2 linked regions of the Saccharomyces cerevisiae S288C genome follow. The gene in region 2 interacts genetically with the main gene of each other region. Each region holds a gene or a part of one and is shown on either strand. Other genes may lie near its edges.

What was found.
Region 1: mutations in VAM7 (region 2) and ERD1 together harm fitness more than expected from each alone (negative genetic interaction), as found in Saccharomyces cerevisiae (4 studies listed by BioGRID).

Annotation. Positions count from the first base shown.
Region 1 is NC_001136.10:1,294,668-1,299,792, reverse strand, and holds ERD1 (Erd1p), read left to right. Parts: upstream 1-3,106; coding exon 3,107-4,195; downstream 4,196-5,125. Other genes in the region: mRNA splicing protein SYF1, read right to left, coding at 1-1,361; YDR415C (putative aminopeptidase), read left to right, coding at 1,632-2,756; rRNA-processing protein RRP17, read right to left, coding at 4,393-5,100. UniProt on the Saccharomyces cerevisiae protein: Required for the retention of luminal endoplasmic reticulum proteins, affects glycoprotein processing in the Golgi apparatus.
Region 2 is NC_001139.9:88,728-93,683, forward strand, and holds VAM7 (Vam7p), read left to right. Parts: upstream 1-2,704; coding exon 2,705-3,655; downstream 3,656-4,956. Other genes in the region: CLG1 (Clg1p), read left to right, coding at 1-612; SKI complex subunit WD repeat protein SKI8, read right to left, coding at 1,327-2,520; NCS6 (Ncs6p), read left to right, coding at 3,785-4,864. UniProt on the Saccharomyces cerevisiae protein: Essential for proper morphogenesis of the vacuole. May exist as structural reinforcement on the surface of the vacuolar membrane and be required for maintenance against rupture by osmotic pressure.

The DNA of each region.
Region 1 (5,125 bases), on a different chromosome or scaffold from region 2:
CCATACGAACACCAAAGCCTACCGAAAGAGCCAGGCGTACCAACTTTTCGGGGATCAATTTTCAGTATAGCTTCTGAATACACATTACACTTTTCCGCTGCTGACTTCTGCAAGGACACTCTTTTCATCCACGTTTCCACCAAGTTGGAATCTTGCCTTAGTGCGACATCGTTCAAATAGATATCATATAAGTTGATTAAAGATTCAAATGTCGCCATATGAGCTTGTAACTTTTCAGTCCAATCTTTTTGATTAAAGAATTTGCTGTCATTTTCCTTTAGCTTTCCCAGAATAAATTGGGAGCACTCTTGCTCAAATAGCAAATAGAAATTATAGATGCGATCAAAATCACTGTACCTAAGTGTTTGCTGTAAACTTTTCTTCAATAAATCACCACAACTGTCAAGCCTCCCGCGAGAGATATAATATTTGGCAAGTGATAGGATCAAAAAAAGCCATTTGTCGGGATATATGCCATTCATTTGCCTCATGAACTCCTCATATTGATTATCTAAACCTAGTTTTTCTAGGCTGGCCAAATAATTGAAATTTAATTCAAAAGGCAGTTCTGAACTAGGTAGATACTTCCCACTATTTTCATCTTGTGGCAAATACTTTTCATATACTGATTTGATGGTAATATTGTCTCTAGTTAATGCAAGAGTTGCCAGCGATTCATTTCGTTTTTGCTGAGGAGCCACTTTTAAGTATCTTTCTAAAATATGTGACGACCAAATATCACCTCTACTTCCGTTTTCACTAATTTCCTCGCTAATAAAACCTCCCTTCGTGAAACCCTTCACTAAAAGTACATTTATCAATTCAGCTTCATCAGTACTTTCTTCTTCATCTTCTTGAGTTGAATCCAGTTGCGTTAATGGTAAAACTTTTTCTTCCACAAATTTTATGACAGGATCCCAAACTTTCCGATGCATTTCTCTCTCCATTTTCATTAAAGATGAAGCTAAGGCATGCCTTATCATTGCCAAGTCATATTGTTCAATTGCCAATTCTAAATAAGACAAACATATCCTGTCACAATCTCGTACACAGCTTTTCAGGCACCTTTGAAAAAGCCAGAAAATACGTGAAGTTTCGACTACTTCCTTTGTTGATTCCCAGCGTATATAATCTTCCCATATACTTGTATCTGTTACAAATTGTGAACAAAATCTTTCATATAGCCACCTAATCTGTTTGTCAGTTCTTCCCTCCTCTTTCCAATACTCGATATATCTTTTCCATGTAAGTATGTTCTGCGGTGTCTTTTGTATTTCGTACTCAAAAGCCACATCTTCATCATTTCTTATGTTCTCATCGACGTTTGTTATTACTCCTTTCATTGCGATGTATGCTGACATAGGATATATGGACACAATAAGTTTTGCGGTACTGAAGGATAGTTGAGTCCAATATGGAGGCCTGATTATTTCCTTTTTTTCTATCTATTTCCTTTTGTATTATTTTGACTGAAAAGCTTGCCAGCGTCTTTACTAAAATCTTTCATATGTTCGGACCGCTATAGTAAACTGAAACTTGATATTCAATAATTATCAATCTTCGAAGCTAAAGAAATACAAAATCTTTATTCGAAAAAGTAAGTAACATAATCAACCGCTGATTAGCACAATATGAGGATACAGTCGCTTTTTGTTTTATTTAATGTTGCCATCATCGCATGGTCATATCCATATGAGCCTTTAAGGGTTTTACAAGTAGGAGAGAATGAGGTAATGGAGGTTCCCGAATCAGAAAAGCTAAACTTACGAAGAAGAGGTGTCAAATTCTTTGATGTGACCAAACACACTTCTTTCTTACCTTTCTTTAACAAGGAGGAAGAGCCAACAGTACCAACGTATAACTATCCTCCTGAGATATCGAACAAAGAAGTAGTGGATGATTCGATTAAGAATATAGACAAGGGCTCTATGCACAAGAACTTGGCAAAGTTTACAAGTTTTTACACCCGTTACTACAAGTCCGATCACGGCTTTGAATCTGCCGAGTGGTTAGCTGCAACTATCGCTAATATTACAAAAGATATTCCGCAAGATACGTTGACTATTGAACATTTTGATCACAAAGAATGGAAGCAATATTCAATTATAGTCCGTGTCACGGGATCTACTACGCCAGAAGATATTATAATAATTGGTTCTCATCAAGATTCTATCAATCTGCTACTGCCATCCATAATGGCAGCTCCAGGTGCGGACGACAATGGGTCAGGCACGGTGACTAATATGGAGGCTCTCAGATTATATACGGAAAATTTTTTGAAGAGAGGATTTAGACCTAACAACACTGTGGAATTTCACTTTTATTCCGCCGAAGAGGGGGGATTGTTGGGTTCTCTTGATGTTTTTACAGCTTATGCCAAACAGAAAAAGCATGTGAGAGCGATGCTTCAGCAAGACATGACGGGATATGTTTCTGATCCAGAAGATGAACATGTGGGGATTGTCACCGACTACACTACTCCCGCATTAACTGATTTTATAAAACTAATTATCAACTCTTATCTATCCATTCCTTACAGGGATACACAATGTGGCTATGCTTGTAGCGATCATGGGAGTGCCACCAGAAACGGATTTCCAGGCTCCTTCGTGATTGAAAGTGAGTTCAAAAAGACTAACAAGTATATTCACAGCACCATGGATACTTTGGACAGATTAAGTCTCGCTCATATGGCGGAACACACAAAAATTGTATTAGGGGTAATCATTGAACTCGGGTCATGGTCCGCTTGGTAAAAGTCAGTAATATGCATACATAACTAATGATGCCTTACCTTGGTGTTCTTTTGTAATATACCTAAACCGATATCACGCTAGTATTTATTTCCCGAATTTTTTTGGCGTATTTCGTCATCTGAAAATAACATAATCAATGAAAGAAATAGAGTCAGTTGCAAAAAGTGCAAGCCAGCGCTAACCGCTCCCGATTTAGTCGCAATATTGATGGCAAACAGTACCAAAAACTGGTTACCCATATAAATTGTTTGGCATTGTTATTATTGTTATAAATTATTATTGTTATTATTATAAATTATTATTAGTATTATACAAAGTTTTCAATTCTGCAACAAGTTGGGCCGCAAAATATGGAGAAAAGCGAAAGTAATTCTGAAGGACTTTATCTCCAAAATATATTAAATGTTCCCCCTCCGCAGCGATTTATTGTGCTCATAATACTTGCCCTTTGGATCTGGACATGGATATTAAAATTCTTCTTGCATAGTAATTTAGACGTATCCCAAGTCATACTCACGAGAGTACCGCACGATATACGTCCAGGTTATACTCTACAGCAATTGCATAGAACAGCTAGAAATTTTGCTTTGAAGATAACAAGGATTATTATACCGTTCCACTTTGCCACTGTGTTCCTTTTTGAGTTCATGAATATTATAGAAGGTCCACTCAAAAATATCATTCTCATCGTATATTTTCTACCATTGATCCAATGTGTCACTATATTTTGGTTTCTGTTGAAAGAGTGCCAGATAATAAAATATTGTACTAGGAGATGTTTGTTGATAGAATCCTCCCCCCGTTCCTTAAGGAATACCTACATTTTAATCTCTGACACGTTGACATCGTTTGCAAAACCATTGATAGACTTCACATTGTTTACCTCTCTAATTTTTAGAGAACCCTTCACACATTTTGATCTATCCGTAGCCCTTCTTCCTGTACTGGTAAGACTACTGCAGTGTTTGAGAGAATACCGTTTACTGCACGAAGCAACTTTACTATTCAATGCATTGAAATACAGTTGTAATCTTCCCATTCTTTTTTGCACCTGGAGATCAAGAGTGTATGAGGGATCCATCAACGAAGAAAGACTACACCACGTTCAAAGATGGTTTATGCTAATTAATTCTTCCTATACGTTATTTTGGGATGTAAGGATGGATTGGTCATTGGACTCGTTAACCTCTTTAAGATCCAGATCCAAAAGTGCCGTCACATTAAAGAAAAAAATGTATCATTCGGCGATTCTCGTTGACTTTTTGCTGAGGTTCTGGTGGCTATGGGTATATTTATCGCAGAATCTGAAATTAGTTGCCGCAGATAGCGACTACATTTTTTTCCAAGGCGAAATGCAGTATTTCGAAGTAATTAGAAGAGGCATATGGGTCGTTTTCAAATTGGACGCAGAGTATTATATTAAGTTTGCAAGCAAATAATTTGTTGGGCAAGCCATATAAAATCATGCAAATGCTGTAAATATTTGTTCTATTTTCCCCGTAGAATGGTTTATTCGATATATTACATATAATAAACGAAAAATACATATGCACAGTATATACTTTTCCAAAAAAAAATCAAACACTGTTTGAGCGTCAAGAAACCCCAGGCGGTGCCCGACGATAATGCGACTGCATTATCTCCTACGCTTGTTGTCGTTTGCCTTTCTTTGGTTTATTCTTCGTTCATTTTTGGTCAAATATCTGAACTTTTTTACTCTTGGCTTCTTCTTTTGTTTCTCATCCACGCCCAGAAACTTCGCGTATTTGGTGGCTCTATTTATGCTTTGTTTGAGTACTTTTTCTGCCTTTTCTAATTTGACATTATTTAGCTGGGCTAAATATTCAAAGTTATCATTGGGTTCCAATGTCTCCAATTCAACAGTAGTTGAGTCATCGTATATTTCCGTGATTGCTCCTTTCTTCAAAATAGGCTTTACGCTACTTTCATTATTGTCGTTATCGCCGTCATCTTTATCAGAATCAAACCCGTGCCAGGATTCATCAGATTCTACCTGCAAATCCTCCGTCTTATCATTTTTCGCATCCTCTATCTCAGCTTCCAAGTTTAAACTCTCTTTAAACGTCTTTAACTGTTCTTCCATCACCTCCTTACGTTCCTGCCGAATCTTCTGTCTTTCTTCAATTTTTCTAAGCCTTTCCTGCTCCTTAATAAACTCTTGTGCTTTCTTTTGTCTTTGAAGCTTTCTCTTGTGAAAGCCAGTCAGATAATCCAAACGAGAATCCTTGTCGAACGTCACCTCATCGGTACCGAATTTCTTTGATTGCTTTGTAGCATAGTTTTTGCCTCTTGTAAGGATTTGCCTATTGGTGTGAACAGCCATAGCAAAAATCGAAAACCTTTAATTC
Region 2 (4,956 bases):
TTCGAGAGACAATGGTTGAGAATATTTAACTGGGAATTGTATGATAGTGCTTTTCTTTATTTTGAGTTCGTCAAGAATTTTGAGATTTTCAAGCAAAATCAACTCAAACCTGCTGTAGCGGTTCCTACGTTATTATCTCCAATTGTCAACGTTGGTGATACGAGAAACGTAAATTTCAACTTGAAGCCTACTTCCACAAACAACCTATTATCTCCAGTTTCCAATTATGAAACCCCCATGCTGATGCCGCATAACATGTTTTCATCACCATCTTATCAGAGTAACTCAAGGTCTGAATTTTCTAGTATGAATGGTTATTATAACTATTACAACTATAATCAGCCAAGATTGAATTACTATCAACAATTCCCCAATATATATTCTTCACCAATTTCGGAAACTCAGTTTGATTACGACTTCTACAATTTCAGTAGTCAACAACAACAGCAACAACAAAAACAACACTCACTTTTACCTGCCGCTCCACAATTACCTCCCCCTCACGTCCATAATCAGTCTTACGGTCATCATCTTGGCTGGAAGTCAATGGATGACACAATAAATCATTCAAGATTTGAGCGAAACTACTTTCCGTATTCGGCAGTGTATTAGTGAAAACTTTTTTTTCCTTATTTTTTCTTTGATCCCATCGAATTACTTTCTCTTTTGCCCAGGATCATCTTTCTAATCTATCATTTTATTATTTTCTCTCATGAGAAAACAGAATTTCGAAACAGATATAATAAAAAAATTGAAAAATTTGAAAAAAAAAAATCTAGAAACATATTTTCCTAAAATGAAAATCGGAAGCTAACAAAATTTTTGAAAAACGAAATAAAGAAGAAAGATTATTATTATTACTTTTTTTATTAGTACTCCATATGGACCTCTTAGGTGAGTGATCTTATTAAAAAAAATAAAAAAAATAAAAAAATATGAAAAAAAAAGAAAATTAAAAACTAAACAAATTTTATGACAGGAATAAAAACTATAAAAAATGAAAACCAAAAAAAAAAAGCACTGGATTTTTAACATCTTGTCCTTTTCTTTCCCTTTATCATTTTTTCTCATTTACTTTGTTATTAATTTTTTTTTTCAAGTTCTCCACATATACATATGTAAGAATTGAGTCTATCTCTTTCTAATATTTAAGAAATACATAAAAAAACCAATTTTTTTTTTTTATTACTAGCAAATTTATTTTTGTGAAGTGAAATTCATACATTGGCTTATTAAAGGTATTAAATATTACTGAAATTTTATGAACCAAAAAGAATAATGGATGATTGTAAGGTTACATGCAATATATCAAGATATTACTAGAGATTATTTACCGCCAGCTTCTCTAAACCACCTGATGCTTCTATCTAAACAAACACAGCATAAACTTTCATTTAAATCAGCTCCCATACCAGATCTCCAACCTTTTTTCAAAAACTTCACGTCAAAGACACCAGGTTCAGCTAAAGAATCTCCATGTTCATCAACAGCTAAGATATCCTCTTCAATTTCAATATCATCACAATGCATATTCAATGTAGTGATTCTTTCCTTTGTTTTTACATCCCAAAATCTCAATTTACCATCCCATCCGGCACTGCATAATGTTTCACCAGAATCATTAAACGATAGACTCATGACCCAGCTAGAATGTGCAAATTCACCCAGACTTGCCTGCGAGCTATGGGTTGGTACGGATAAGGAGCCTATTCTTTCACCAAATTCAGTTTCATATAGAGTGATGCAACCAAATGAATTTGAATCGTGAGCAATGGCTAATAAGGATCCTTGAGGAGAAAATTTCACCGATCTGATGGAATTCGAATTATTAATCATAGAATGCTGAGATTCAAAATTGTACAACGGGCGTAATGTAGATAGTTCTGAAATTTGTACTGTTCCATTATTAAAACCTGTGGCAATTAGTCCTCGTTCAGAGATATCCACAGAAGTGGCAAATTGACTTGGAGTCATAGGCGATTCGACAGTGCCTTGTAATTCTAACGTGGGGCTCCAATTTAGTGTTAAAGAATTTGACTCATCTGCAAACGGGTGAAACTTCCAAATGTAAGTGGTCCCTTTGACGTCTGTAGCAACCAGCCTATGGGAAAGTAGTCTGTCATTTGAGGCACCCCATTTTAATGCCCAAAAGGAATGCTTTTTCATGTCTGAGTCTAGAAGATCCAATTTCTCGAATATAACTTTTTTAGTCTCATCTTCTCTAGTGATACGATAGAAGAGTAAATCGCCAGAAAATGAAGTGGTAGCAACAAGGCATAATTCAAATGCATCTCTCTCAATAGCTTGCAAGACATCGACATGGTGCAATCCGGACTTATGGACAAAGTGAGAATATGACTTATCTTTTGGATTTTCATTATCTAACAGCTTATTATCCCACACCTTTAAGTAACCGTCACCTGAACAACTTACCGTAAATGAATTGCAAGCAGAAACCGAGAAAATATCAGCGTCATGAGCTTTACCTGCATTTGCTGTGGCAATAAACACTTTGGACATTTTTCCAATACTTGATTAACCTCTTTTTCGTTTCTTGTCTTTATTTTAGATTTGTTTTAATATCGCCTAATTTTTCCTTCTTTACTTTATATTTTTTTTATTTTTCGCCTAAAGATTTGTATCAATTAATTAGCCAACAAAAACAAAAACAATAAAGTCATATAAGGGTTGATAATTGATATTGATGGCAGCTAATTCTGTAGGGAAAATGAGTGAAAAGTTAAGAATCAAGGTGGACGATGTTAAAATCAACCCCAAGTATGTTTTATACGGTGTTAGTACACCAAACAAGCGCCTTTACAAAAGGTATTCCGAGTTTTGGAAACTGAAGACACGATTGGAGAGAGATGTAGGAAGCACCATCCCATATGACTTCCCTGAAAAGCCCGGTGTATTGGACAGGAGGTGGCAAAGAAGATATGATGATCCGGAAATGATCGATGAAAGACGGATCGGACTAGAGAGGTTCCTCAATGAATTGTATAACGATCGTTTTGATTCTCGATGGAGAGACACAAAAATAGCGCAAGACTTCCTGCAGTTGTCAAAGCCAAATGTTTCTCAAGAAAAGTCACAGCAGCATCTAGAAACTGCTGACGAAGTGGGATGGGATGAGATGATAAGAGATATTAAATTGGATTTAGATAAGGAGAGTGATGGCACACCCAGCGTGCGTGGAGCACTAAGGGCACGTACGAAGCTCCACAAGTTACGAGAGCGACTAGAACAGGATGTGCAAAAGAAGTCTCTTCCAAGCACGGAAGTGACTCGTCGCGCCGCTCTATTGAGGTCCTTGCTCAAGGAATGCGATGACATTGGTACAGCAAACATAGCTCAGGACCGTGGACGACTTCTGGGGGTTGCCACCAGTGACAACTCTTCAACCACGGAAGTTCAAGGAAGAACGAATAACGATTTGCAACAGGGGCAGATGCAAATGGTGCGCGATCAAGAACAAGAGTTGGTTGCACTGCACCGAATTATCCAGGCACAACGTGGATTGGCCTTAGAGATGAACGAGGAGCTGCAAACACAGAATGAGCTACTTACAGCACTTGAAGATGACGTCGATAACACTGGTAGGAGGTTACAGATAGCCAACAAGAAGGCTAGACATTTTAACAACAGTGCTTGAATTAATGAGTTACTATCCGGGTTACAAATCCTGAGAGTATATTTGTACTAAAAAAAAAAATTGTAAATCTAGTAATTGAAAAATTTTGGCGATGAGACGATATGGTAAGAGTAAAGCAAAGGAACCGTCATGTCGTTTACTGCTCCTTCAGATCCCGTCAATAAACCGACAAAAGTGAAGGTATCACAGTTGTGTGAACTATGTCATTCAAGAAAGGCTCTCATTAGAAGACCCAAAAACCTGTCTAAACTTTGCAAACAATGCTTCTGCCTCGTGTTCGAGACGGAGATCCATAACACTATTGTAGCAAATAACTTGTTTCAGAGGGGAGAAAAAGTAGCCGTGGGGGCCTCTGGTGGTAAAGACTCCACGGTGTTAGCGCATATGCTGAAGCTTCTGAATGACCGTTACGATTACGGCATTGAGATTGTACTGTTGAGTATTGACGAAGGAATCATCGGATACAGAGATGATTCCTTGGCCACGGTGAAAAGGAATCAGCAGCAGTATGGCCTTCCTTTGGAGATTTTTTCCTTTAAGGACCTCTATGATTGGACAATGGATGAGATTGTATCCGTTGCTGGTATAAGGAACAGTTGCACGTATTGTGGTGTTTTTAGAAGACAATCATTGGACCGTGGTGCTGCAAAGCTGGGCATATCTCACGTTGTCACCGGCCACAATGCAGACGATATGGCAGAGACAGTACTAATGAATATCCTACGTGGTGACGTAGCAAGATTGGAAAAATCGACTGCGATTATCACACAAAGTAGCGGCTCTCCCATCAAGAGATCAAAACCATTTAAATATTCTTACCAAAAGGAAATTGTCCTGTATGCGCACTACATGAAGCTGGATTATTTTTCCACTGAGTGTACCTATGCCCCAGAAGCGTTTAGGGGCACTGCGAGAGAATACATGAAGAATCTGGAAGCAGTGAGGCCCAGTTGCATTATAGACATCATCCAAAGTGGCGAAAATTTGGCATTAAAGGCTAAAAAATCTAACGCTGGAAAGAGAGTCGTCAAATTTGTTGACGGCAATAGATGCGCTAGATGTGGATATCTGTCGTCAAATAACATTTGCAAGGCGTGCATGTTGCTGGAAGGACTGGAGAAAAGTAGAGCCCAAGTGGCAATCGAGAATGACACTTCTGCCGATGGTGCAGCCTTGAAGCTGAGAGCTCTTGAGAAACTCAGCTTTTGACATATATATAGCTCGCAGTAGAAGAATGCAGCGTAACATAATATAATATAATATAGTACGGCGCGCCCTCCATTAGAACGCGCAACACAATA